3 linked regions of the Mus musculus genome follow. The protein of the gene in region 2 purifies or fractionates together with the protein of the main gene of each other region. This does not show direct contact. Links are inferred from orthologs where the notes say so. Each region holds a gene or a part of one and is shown on either strand. Other genes may lie near its edges.

Region 1 (4,300 bases), on a different chromosome or scaffold from region 2:
TATGAAACTTACAATGTTTAAAAAAAAAAAGCTTACTACTAACCAACTCACAATGCAATACCTACAAATCTAACTTAAAACATGCAAATTCCATATCTTCATACACAACTTAATCAGAATAGTGTAAACACCCAAAAACAAAATCTTTAGTCACAATATATTAAGTTTTCCAGGATCTAAACAATGTCAGTTGGCCAAACTTAGTTCTTTGACATTTTTACAGCTCCTCATAAAGGGTTAGAAAAACTTATTTTCTCATAGAGTACAATCTGTAGCTTCTACCCAAGCTTAAAGATTCTGATTCTTAGACTAAAGTGATTTTAACTGACTTTAAAAAGCTCCTTCAATGGTCATCTCCCTAAACTCAAGAAACCATTCTTCTACTTCCTGTATCTCATTGCTGAGTAACATCTTTCTGAAGTTGGAGAACTCCATTTTACAAAGGTACATGATTTATTATTATAAAATAGAAATATATAGCCTTGATTTTCCTCTTCAATTTACAAACTCATTTACCTGATTTACCCAAAAATATACTGAAAAAATTTTACAAGAAAAGTCAAAAAAAAAAATCAAACACTTTAAAAAATATAAGGTATAGTGCTTTTATAGCACAATCAATCATTATCCATTTCTTAACACTTTGGCCTTCTGCAGTTTAAATATCAATTTATCAATTCTAGGGGGAAGGTAAGCAATTACTTAAGGGCTTGGAAAATCTTCATTACTTGGAAACTTACAATAAGAATAATATTTAACTTATATTTTCAAATATTTTTGAGCTACACTTTTAGTATTTCTATTAAGTTCTTATAACTTAACGAATCACTATCCAATTTAGTTCAGCAAATATTCAGAAGACAACTCACCACCACCCTAATGTTTGAAAGGAAAACAACTCTGATCAGATAAAATAATAATTTAGTCATCGTACACATCTGTGCTAAAAGAAATTTTAGCTTTCCTCAGAGAGTTTCCATTTTGTAGTTCTGAACACTAACAAGCTTCATTGTCTTTCTTGTTAAGTATAGCCTATTAAACAAAACCAAGTGTAATTGGGCAGCTGCCAAAGGCAAGAAAAGTCATTTCTTTAAGCTGACTACAGACACGCAGACCTACACACATATATACATTCCAACAAAGTTGGAATGTTTTGGGCACACATACATGGCAATCATCTAAAAATGCTGACTAAAGCCAAAAAAAAAAAAAAATCTAGACTTGATCTTCTTTATGACATCTGAAAAACTCACCGTAAAAAACAGTAAAGCATTCACTGTGCAAGATTAAGATCTGCAAATGAATATATGATACTGAGCTAAGTAATAAGACAACTGTATTTTTAAAAGATCACGTCTCAGAAATATTCGCTGATGTATTAACATCATTAAATATTGATGAAATATCAGTGATTTTTTTAATATTAAGGAATGGGGAGCGTACTGATTAGAAAATATGGTTGAGTTATTATGTACAGAATCCAGGAGATATGAGTACAAGAGTTACGTGATTGCTTTTACTGTTTTCCATAACGTCCATTTTAAAAAGTCAGCAGACTACTGCGATGGCATTATCTAAGCTTAACATATGTACAAATTCAGCATATATATTTGGCATGACGTTTTACGCACATTTCAGACACACTATCTTGTTCTGGCTTCAAATTTCACCAACAGTCCTAACTAAAAAGGAAAAGAAGGTTCACAACTGATTGTTTTCGATTTGGGAGGCCTTCGCTTCATCCCAAAGCCCAGCTGACTTTTGATGGAAGTGCACTGCGATTTAAATTAGGGAAAGGGTATACAAAACAACCAACCAACCTCCTTACACTGAAGCTGTAAAGAAACCTAGCCACTTCCAGGAAAGACACCCAAGGTAATGCATTAGGGGGGCTTCAATAAAGAGAGGAGAGTGGAATGGGCAAACAGAAACCCTCACCTGAGGCTGCGAGTGCGCCCGGAGGCTGGAGCCGAGACACCCCTCGGGCTGGACACTCACGCAACTTTTCTCCTCCCAACCCCCACAGCCTAGGAAAGGGATGTCGCTTCGGACGCCCCGGAAGCTTCTGCTACCGAGTCCCCGAAGCAAGGCCTCTCGGTGACGGCTAGAGGCGGAGGAGACGACGGGGAAAAAGAATTCGGGACTCAAATCAACCGGACCGGGTTTGGAAAAGAGAAGTCAAATCAAGTAGCCGGAGAAGAACTCAAAAGGCAAAATTAAGAGGTGGGAAGGGAAAGAGTTTCTTGCGATCCTCCGGTGCCCAACTTCCTTAGAAGCCAGGTGAGCAACGAGCCTCGCGCCGCCCCTGCCGCCTCCACCCGCCCCAACTCACTCCGGGCCTAGGCAGCCGCCCGAGACCTCACTTACCCTCGGCGCCTGGCGGGTGCTTTGGCCTCGGGCCGCCTCCGCCTCTCCGGCTCCCAACGGCCCGCGGGCGGGCGCGGGAGCCCCGCGCGAGAGACCAGTGCCGACCGGTGCCACCGAGAGGGGCGAGGGGCTCTGCTGCCGTCACAGTCCGCGGCTCCGCTTCGGTAAATAGGAAGCTCGGGCGACAGGGGGGGTGGGGGGTGAGCGGCGGCCCCGCAACTTCCCTCCCCACCTCAGGCGCGCCGGCCGGACAGGGCCTAGGCCTCCCTGGCGGCCGCCGCCGGTGCCGAGCCCGCTACGTGCCCCCGCTGGGCCGCCGCCGCCTTCTGCGCCGCCGCCTCCGCCGGTGAATGGTCAGCGCTGGAGTTTGAACAGGGCCCTGAACCATCTCAACGCCATTTGCGCTCCCGGCCCCCCACCTCCTTCCTCCAACAGCCGCTCGCTCCGTCACTCCGCTTCCCACAGGCCCCGCGCGGCCGCCCGACTCCGCAGCCAATCGTACGGCCTCTTACTCAAACCGCCGCGCAGGCGCCGCGCCCCGCACGCGCCGGCTACCACCATTGGTCGGACCGCGTGGCCCGACGGGAGTTGTAGTTCTCTCTTCCGCAAGGTCCTGGTGTCTAAAGCCCGGTTCCGGAGCTGGCGAACGGTATAGGTTCTGGCTAAGGGCCTGCTGGACTTCACCGACTCCGGAGCCAGTCCCAGTTCCTAGCCACGCGACGAGACGCAGGTGCAGCGCGGGAAGGCTCGCGGCACAGTGCAGGCAGCTGTGTCAATCGTTTCCCCTCCAGGGACCCTCCGGTGTCTAGGGACAGAGACTTGTGCAGCTGCGCCGAGCCTGCTGGGCCACCGCCCGGACCTTGGAGGCGGGGAACTTGGGGCCGCCTTTGACCTGGTCTGACGGTGCGAGAGAGCCAACGCAGGTAAACGAGCAGCGAAACCTGGAGCAGTCGGGTGCTGGTCTCCTCGCAGCCGGGATCCGCTTCAGCCGGCCACTTCATCCTCTCTCTCCTTTCTTGTTCAGTCCCCACTACGGAGTTCTGTCCCCTACCTGTTAGCAATGACACCCCACACCCCCACCCCACCCCCGCTCCCCGAGTATTTTATGTTACTAAGGAATTATCGTCATCCTTATCGAACGTGCTTACGGTAATGTGGCTTTAAATTTAAAACACACACACACACACACACACACACTAAAGTGTTGATAGGTAAAATGATCCAATACGTTTATTTTGTTTTAGACTAAGCCTCTGGAAACTGGGAAAGAAGGGAATAAATTAACTGAGGATGTCCTTCGATGTTGGAGCTGTGGGATATGTACACATATGCTATCATACCAGTATTTATGTCTCAAATTGTTCATAATAAAGTTTTGGTTTGGGGGGGACGGATTGTTTGTTTTGGTTTGGGTTTTCAACTAACTAGTCCCGGACAAGAAGGTAGTGAATGATGGACGGAGTATTTTTAAGTTTTCTTCTGCAGAGACTTTTTTTCATGTCAGTGAATCACCTGGTTGAGAAACTTGGAGAGGTTTTATTTTAAACCTTCAATGAGAAAATAGCTTTCTAAAACAGTTTCCCTTAGGAGAAGTGAGTGGTCAGTCATTGGCCTTGCAGCTAATGGAGACTCATCTGAGAAATTAGAAAACTACTAATTGCTTTTAGTGAAAAGACAACCTCTTCTGCCAGATTTGCTTTTAAAGACTCCTCAAATTTCAAGCTCCCTCCACTGTAGTCAATGGATTTTTCCAACAAAGCTAAAAAGGAAAAATAAAAACTTCTGACTGAGAGGATAAGTTAATAGTAGAGTTTTTCTCCAGCATGCCCTTGGTTAGATGCCCTTGGCACTCCCTTCTGCCACCCTCTTAAAAATAAAAAACATGAGCACTTCCCAATAGGAATTTAAGGTGGATTTTCAACACTTGAATTGT
Region 2 (4,284 bases):
AATTTAGCTTATCCAAAAGCCTTAGGAAACAGGTATTTCCTCTGCTTTAAAGCGGAAGAAACCTAGTCATTCCTTAAGTTAAAACTGTCAGCGAGTCCTTTACTTCAACTGACAGGATGACAAAACAGTCTCCGTATCATCAGGCTTCAAGCCCAAAGTCCTTCATTCTGCTACTCGTTTGTTAAAACCTTAAAAAATAAACCTCGTGGGGCTGGGGACTTGACCCAGCTGAGAGTGTGCTCGCCAGGCACGCACAAGACCTTCAGCTCAAACCCAAACTCTCAAGTAAACCAGGTGTGGAAGTACACACTTGTAATTCCAGCACTCTGAAGATGGAGGCAGGAAGATCAGAAAGTCAGATTTGAAACCAGGCTGGGATATGAGATCCTATCTTAAAAACAAACGAACAACAAAAACCCAAGATCTACTTGGTGCTCAATAAGTGGCACATCTATCAGTATTCAATCTGGAGTCAACTCTCTCTCCAGTTGCAGCAGAGCTAGTAAATCACATAAATTGGAATTAGTCTTGTAACCACCAATTTCCAATCTTTGGACTTCTCCCTTGATTTTCAAGGATCACATCTCACAAGTACAATCCTCTTTTACTATAGTCATTAAGTGTTGGAAAGATTCTTCTAATGCAAATGTTAACAATAACTATATACCAATAAAACATCTCAAGGAATGGCATCTTGAGAACACTCATGCACTAGTGATGAAGATGAAAAAAAATGTACCATAAATGTGTAACCAAAAATAAATTTACAAAGTGGGAATCAGAGATCAAAAAATGCTTCATGGTGCCAAGCTTTGAAGGGTATGCAGAGGCAGAAAGCAGGTGTGGTAAAACACAGCTATAAATCTAGCACTTGGGAGGTAGGGGCAAGAGGATTTAAGAGTTTGAGGCCATAAGAAATTATCTCCAAAACAAACAAACAAACAAAAGGTGGGACAGTGGTGGCACACACCTTTAATCCCAGCACTAGGGAGGCAGAGGCAAGTGGATCTCTGTGGGATGGAGGCCACCTTGGTCTACAGAGGAAGTTCCAGGACAGTCAAGACTACACAGAGAAGCCCTGTCTGGCAACCCCTCCCCCTCAAAAAATAGAGAGGTAAGAACCCAGGCCTGTTCCAAACAGCTGGATTTTTAATTCTAACAACGCTGAGAGAACTCGATTTCAACAAGTGGTACAACCAAGCATTTTCTACAAGAGTCACAAGACCAAAATCCTAAGAAATTTAGTGGAACTCAAAGCATCAACCCTCTAGGCCAGTGGTTCTTAAACCGTAGTAGGGGAAGTAAGTAACCCGTCATTACCACCCCCACCCGCACTCCAAACTCTGACATTGTCCGAACACATTTTTGATGGGCATTTCAGGGGAGTGGAGGTGCTGTCATTTAGTGGAGAGAGGTCAGGAAAACAGCTAAACATTCTACAATGCACAGAACCAACCGCACAGAGAAAGTGTGTGGCTAAAGAGCTAGTGTTAGGAAACAATGCTCTAGACAGAGAACAAAACCGCAAGCAAGAGTCCAGTGAAGGTATTCGCTATGAGCTACTTCAAGGTAAGGGTGGCCTAGCAGGCTAGAAAATGAGTAAACTAGAATATCTCTGGAGTGGAGGAACACAGCAAAGATTCATAACGAATACTTCTAGAGATGGGTGAGAGGAAACTACGAGCTATACAGCAAAAACTAAGATATGAAATAGTAGGCTTAAGTATGAAAAAGTAGGGTTACTATCAAAGTCACTCTAACTTATCAGCCTAACCCCTTTTCTACAAAACATTTATAATGGCCTAAGTGTTATCTTATTTTGTACTTTGCTTCTCCTTTCCCGCGATCTCGGATTTGCTCTCCCCGCATAAACTTAACTGATAAAACCCCAAACCCTCCACCAATTTGGCAAGCGAACAAGTTCAGGCTTATTTACGGTTTTCTGGTAGGAAAAAGGCAAATCAAAGCAACAATCTCTTAGGCGTGTGGGGGGCATGCGGAGGGGTGGGGGGCATCGCAATCCCACGCTGCTGAGCGGAACGCTGGGTCAGAAATTCAAAAGTGCCACAGCAGAGAGGGGGGGGGGGAAAGGAATCAGAGTGGAGCGTTCCATCGGGAGGTGCGGGTGCGGGGAGGGCTGAGTAGAGCACAAAGTACACAGCTTGGGATCGGACGCCAAAGCAGAGTTACGGTTCCCAAATTTTCCCAGAGGTGTCAAACAAGTTTAGGAAGGTGGAACAATGCAGACCGGAAGGAAGCCGCGGGCCAAACAACTGGCAGCAAATTTCGGGAACGCCTCTTTTGGCGGGAGGGGTAGTGGGCGGGGCGACGCACGGTTCGGCCCATACCATTCGGGCCAGAGGGGGTCTGCGCCGAACTCCGCCAACTGACAGTTGGGAAGAGACTCGAGTTCAGTGTATGCCAAAAGGGAAAGCAAGTTCAGATCCAAGCCCCACCAAGAGGATCAAGGAACATTTCAGGGTTCACAATGTCTCGGGTTGCATGGGGGTAGGTTGTACTACTTTGCAGACAAGCAGGGGGAACCGGACCGGGACGCGCGCAGGGCCACAGCCGGTTTTAATCTCACCAGAGCCATTGGGTCCAATGATGGCGGTAAACCTCTGAAATGGTCCGATAATCTGTCGACCCTTGTACGATTTAAAGTTCTCGATCTCAATCAGTTTCAGGAAACCCATGACAGCGGCGCTGGCGTAGGAAAGGCCGCGCCTTACTCCTGGGAACGAGGTTAGCCCGCGCGGGAAATAGCGCAGTGCAAGCCGGGTGTACAGTAAGCCTCGCGATAATAAGTCCAAGCCAATCACGATTTCCTGTTTCCGGGGCCAGAAATGGTCACTTCCGCCTGAAATAGCGCTTTTGTTGAATTGTTGCCCGGCTGGAGCACGCGCTGGGCGCTCAGGCCCCGCCCCTCTACGTAGTTACCCAGCAACTGTTGAAGTGGCCGCCAACTAGGACGGGAAGCGTTAGTGCTCTGATCACTTCGGGGGAAATCAGAGCAAGCAGGCGGGGTCTGAGCCCACGCTTGCTGGGAAAGAAGTCACTTCAAGGTTCTGCCAGAGCTAGTGGGAGGCAGAAGCTCGGCTGGGGTTTGTAGTCTAGCCAGCAAGGGGGGAGACGGGGAGAAGCGCTTCAGCCAAGGATTCAGTCGGGAATGGGAAGGCGCCCTCGGAAGGGTGGGCAGTTTGGGATGGAAGAGGGATCAAAGGGAGGACTTAGATGAGGCGAGCTTAGAGTGTGAGGACGATGAGAGTATCTCTTAGACAACAGAGATACAAGTTGGGAAAGGCTGTGTTCTGAAATACTGCCCCTATCGTCTGCTTCTCTCTTATTTCTCCAAGCAGAATTTAAAGACTGCCGTTGTAAATCCAAGAGTCAACTTGGGTCCAATCCATTTTCGAGCTTCAAAACTGGAATTCTGTACTGAGAAAGGTATCTTGTGTGAACACTAGGAGTCCAGGTCCTTAAGCCAGTGCTCCAGCTCTGTCCTTTTCCCTCCCTGTTAAATCAAGTTTCCCCCATTTCCACCACTTCCCCTCTGTCTCTTTCCCTCCCCCTTTCTCTCCTCTCTCCCTCCCTTTCTCTTTCTCTCTCCTCTCTCCCTTCCTCTCCCCCTCCCCTCTCTCTCCTCTCCTTCCCTCTCCCTCTCTCCTCCCTCCCTCTCTCGCTCCAACTCTGTCCTTTTCCCTCCATTACATCAAGTTTCCCCCATTTCCACCTCTTCACCTCTCTCTCTCCCTCCCTCTTTCTCTCCCTCTCCCCCCTCTCTCTCCCCTCCTTCCCTCTCCCTCCCTCTTTTTCTCCTCTCTCCCCCCTCTCTTCCTCTCTCCTCTCTCTCCTTTATACCCTGTCCTTCTCCAATTCTTTTCCATCCCCTTTTTCTTCATTCTTTCATTCCCCTTCTATCACCTTATAGTCATGATCTTAGCAGCCCAGGATGTCTACTGAATCATCCCCCTATTGTGACAACAGATTGTCTTTATAGGCCGGGGTTAGTGCCATTTTCAGTTAGATATGGAAAGAGTCTGGTGGTTTCCACAGCTATTCCTGGGTATCTTCTTTTATTTTTTCAAAAGTTTCTCCATCTAGCTCTGACTGTCCTGGAACTCTGTAGACCAGGCTGGCCTCGAACTCAGAGATCCACCTGCTGGGATCAAAAGTGTGTGCCACCACTGCCCGGCTTTGTAACTGTGTGCAAGTGCAAGCGTGATCAAATGTGTGCACAAGCCACAGACATTAGGCATCAGATCCCTTGGAGCTGGAGTTACA
Region 3 (3,926 bases), on a different chromosome or scaffold from region 2:
TGGGAAGCTAGGTGGGGTAGTGCATGCCTTTAACCCTAGCACTAGGGTGGGGGTTGAATCTCGGTGAGTTTGAGGCCTGCCTGGTCTTCAAAGCAAGTTCTAGGACTTGAAAACCCACCTCCACCATCACAAGATGGCTGGGATTATCTCAACAGCAGGGTACCTGCTTAGTACTGCCCTGGGATAGATCTCCAGCACCACACACATCAGAATAACAAATCAAACTGGCAATTTGCCTCACGTCTGCAATTCCCAGGACACTGAGAAATACCAGGCAGGAAGAGTACCAAAGCCAGCCAGCAACACAACCCTGGTCAGAGAGCAAAGCACCACTGGGTACACTTGGGAGATTGAAAAATCAGGAATTCAAAACCAGCTTTACGCACATACTAAATTCAGGGCCAGGCTTGGCCACAGGTAACCCTGGCTGTCTTGGAACTCACTCTGTAGACCAAGCTAGCCTATAAGTCAAAAGAGATCCACTTGCCTCTGCCTTCTGAGTGCTGGAATTAAAGGTGTGCACCAGCACCCAGCACCTTTTACACTGCGTATGCATGTGTCCGGAAGAGGGCGTTGGATACTCTCAAACTGAAGCTGTAGGTGTGTAGGGTCCATCTGATGGAATCTGAAAACTGCTTTTACCCAGAACCATCTTTCCAGCCCCTACACATAACTCATTCTATAACCATAAAACAAACAAACAAACAAACAAAACATAAATAAACACTCAGCAAAACAACCTTATCACTCTGTGGACCAGGCTGGCCTAAAACTCCGAGATCCGCCTGCCTCTGCCTCCCAAATCTTGCGACTAAAGGCGTGCGCCATCACAACATCACAACAAAACAGTGGCAAAACAGTCTACAGAAGCCCAGTGGTTAAACCATAACTTTTTAAGAAAAATAGTGAGAATGTTCAGAGCATAAAGAACTAGAAATGAGGGGTTGGGGTTGGGGATTTAGCTCAGTGGTTTTCAGCTCTGGGGAACAAAACAAAACAAAACAAAAAAACCCAAAAAAAAAAAGAAATGAATGACACCCATAGGCAGGAAACAAGACTGGTAACTACAGTCAGTCCTGGTAGCATGCCCATCTCTAAGATTTGAATCTATCTGCAGAGACTGGTGCAGGTGGATCTCTATGAATTTGAGGCCAGTCTGGTCTACCGTAACTTCCAGTTCAGGAAACAGTGTTATACACTGAGACCTAAACTGACAAGCCATGAAGCAGTTGCCTGGGTAGAAGTGTATGCCTACCCTCTAAGGGTAAATCCTACACAAATAAACAGAAATAAACAGAACTGAACTCACCCTAGGACTTCTTCGAACCGTGTGGACATCTGGGACCTGTAGGGATGACATCAACTGATCAATCAATAGCTAAGCCCAGTTTTGACATCTCACTCCCAAAGCCTTCTCTCAGCCCCTCACCTCTACTGCATGAGCTACGATCTTCTTCAAGACGATGGCCTTTCTGACTGGGACCGCTGGAGTTGTCTGGGGGGGGTAAAAGAAAGTATTATCCATGAGCTTTACAATAGTTCAAAGCCCTCTAGGTCAGTGTAAAAGTACTTTGGGAGCCGGGCAGTGGTGGTGCACGCCTTTAATCCCAGCACTTGGGAGGCAGAGGAAGGTGGATCTTTGAGTTCGAAGCCGGCCAGGTCTACTAAGTAAGTGAGTTCCAGGACAGCCAGGGCTATACAGAGAAACGTTGTCTCGAGGAAAAAAAAAAAAAGTACTTTGGGGGTGTTGCTGAGAAAAGTTTTCCTTATCTTCTATCCAAGACTTCTCAGCCTCTAAGCCTGGTTCTAAGTTTGTAAGTTCTTGCACCATGTTGGGCACCAACTGTGGAAGCATTGGGCGGGAGTTTTTTGACTCCCTTGCTCCCAAATAACTGCAGGGCATTTCTTCCCCCCAACGCCACTACCTCCTGAGTAAAGGACACAGAGCTGTTATTCAAAGGCTGCTGGCACTATGTTGGGCAGGTTCTGAGCTACTCTAACCCTCTCAGGCTGCCTATCTACCAGTCACACGGTCCTCTACCTGAATCTCAGTCTTACTCTGACTCAATCTGGTCCATGTGTGCCCTCATGACTGCTCTCTCCCTCCTCTTGACCTTAGAGTGAAACCACCTGCTCTCTCCGCGCCTCCCCCTCTCCCACTTCTCTCTCCCTAGACTCTTCCGGACGCCTCAATGGGCGCTGATGTCCCGCCTCCTCTGTCCTCTCCTGCCCAGCCATAGGCTGATCAGCTCTTTATCAACCAATCAGAGATGATTTAAAAAAAAAAAAACAACAGTGAGCCCGGAGGTGCTAGTTAGCCGGACTAAGGATACCTAGGCATAGAAATTAGCATCTGAATACGCAGCGCACAAACCCAACCCCAACACCTGGGGGACCAGGAACTCACCCTCGGCCAGATTTCAGAGAACGAGTTCGGGAGATCTGAGCCAGATTTCCGCTTGGACGACTTCGAAGGCTTAGTAAGTGAAGTCCTGGGCCCTGGAAAGGAAAACACGTTTGATGGTGAGCAAAACTTTGCTCGAAGAAAAGGCGACAAACAAACGAAACAAGATGCTTGACGAGTTCGGAAAAGCAAAAGTCGTTTTCCAACTACCCCTTTGGGGCGTCTTCCACCGGGAGCCAAGTTTTGTTCCCCAAACAACCCCGCTCCACTGCTCCCGTGCTCACCAGACCGCTGGGCAGCCCCTCCTGATCGTGTTCGCCGCTCCGCCATGTGTACGGTCGGGCTCAGTCTCCGCCGCGGTCGCCTACTCAGGCTCGCGCCAACCGGGAACTTTGCTGCTTCAAACGTTCAAATTGCCCGCCTTGCTAGCGAGAAAGCGGAAGTGACACAGGCCGGAGGCGGACCATCCGCTTTTGTTGTCACAGGCTTTACGTCTAGCTAGCAAAAGGCAGAGGCGTATCCTGCGGCGCTGTGGCGTCATCAGCGTGCGCCGCACCCGGAAGAGACGTGGCAGCGGAGGGATAATCAGGCCGGACCTGAAGGGAGCGGAGCTGCAGCTACCGGAGTTGGTGAGCTCAGTCCCCGGCCTTCCGCGCTTTTCATTACCGTACGCACCGGTCACGATCGGCATCGCGGAGGTTCGCGGACATCCAGAATGTGGTCGGCCAGCTGGGGGCGGGTCAAGAGGGGGTGGGTCTTGGGGGCGGGGCTGGTGGTATTGGAGCTGTGCAGAGATCTGGCGAGGGCCTTCCTGGGTCTTGATGGAATGAAGGGTCGGTCGTTTGTGGTACGATCTGTACAGGAGACGTGGCTTTACCCATGCTAAGGCATTATGCTAGAATTTGGTGTTGGGACTGGTGTGAGACGGGACTGAGAGATTTAAAAGAAGAGAACTGGGTTGGTGAAAACAAACTGGCAGCCACCAAAACCTGGCTTCCTGCTAACTGATTTCACCCCACCACACCCTCCAGGATCGGTCATGGGACTTTGCAAGTGCCCCAAGAGGAAGGTGACGAACCTGTTCTGCTTCGAACACCGAGTTAACGTCTGCGAGCACTGCCTAGTAGCCAATCACGCCAAGGTGGGGCGTTTAGAGCAGTGTCTGAGCAGGGCGGGTGGGTGGGCAGACAAGATTGCCTACTTCTAAATCCATGTGGGGACCTATGCTAGACTGTAAGCTCCACAAGGGCAAGAACATGGGGTGTGATGCGCTCTGCTATGCCTTCAGTAGCTGCTCAATAAATGGTCACTCAATAAATGGAACAGATGAAATGATGAGTCTGATGAGAGAAAACGAGGCATTTGAGCCTTGGAGTGGTGTGTGCATCGTGGAGCCTGGGGCACCAGTTGTGACATCTCTCTCCCACTCCAGTGCATCGTGCAGTCCTACTTGCAGTGGCTACAAGATAGTGACTACAACCCCAATTGCCGCCTGTGCAACACACCCCTGGCCAGTCGGGAG

Evidence for each region. Proteins that work in one complex are often made in the same cells at the same time.
Region 1: the proteins of Smc1a (region 2) and Wapl purify together in Homo sapiens (affinity purification with mass spectrometry; 7 studies listed by BioGRID and IntAct, with this or other methods). This does not show direct contact. The link is inferred for Mus musculus from reciprocal best matches to the Homo sapiens genes SMC1A and WAPL.
Region 3: the proteins of Smc1a (region 2) and Cdca5 purify together in Homo sapiens (affinity purification with mass spectrometry; 7 studies listed by BioGRID and IntAct, counting the BioPlex papers as one, with this or other methods). This does not show direct contact. The link is inferred for Mus musculus from reciprocal best matches to the Homo sapiens genes SMC1A and CDCA5.

What each region holds. Positions count from the first base shown.
Region 1 is NC_000080.6:34,672,428-34,676,727, reverse strand, and holds the start of Wapl (wings apart-like protein homolog), read right to left. Parts: upstream 2,801-4,300; 5' UTR 2,368-2,800; exon of another isoform or gene 2,060-2,367; intron 1-2,059. UniProt on the Homo sapiens protein: Regulator of sister chromatid cohesion in mitosis which negatively regulates cohesin association with chromatin. Involved in both sister chromatid cohesion during interphase and sister-chromatid resolution during early stages of mitosis.
Region 2 is NC_000086.7:152,014,944-152,019,227, reverse strand, and holds the start of Smc1a (structural maintenance of chromosomes protein 1A), read right to left. Parts: upstream 2,801-4,284; 5' UTR 2,697-2,800; coding exon 2,588-2,696; intron 2,509-2,587; exon of another isoform or gene 2,342-2,508; intron 1-2,341. UniProt on the Homo sapiens protein: Involved in chromosome cohesion during cell cycle and in DNA repair. Central component of cohesin complex. The cohesin complex is required for the cohesion of sister chromatids after DNA replication.
Region 3 is NC_000085.6:6,083,971-6,087,896, reverse strand, and holds the start of Cdca5 (sororin), read right to left. Parts: upstream 2,801-3,926; 5' UTR 2,735-2,800; coding exon 2,689-2,734; intron 2,500-2,688; coding exon 2,408-2,499; intron 1,496-2,407; coding exon 1,430-1,495; intron 1,346-1,429; coding exon 1,310-1,345; intron 1-1,309. Other genes in the region: Zfpl1 (zinc finger protein-like 1), read left to right, coding at 3,444-3,545, 3,837-3,926. UniProt on the Homo sapiens protein: Regulator of sister chromatid cohesion in mitosis stabilizing cohesin complex association with chromatin. May antagonize the action of WAPL which stimulates cohesin dissociation from chromatin.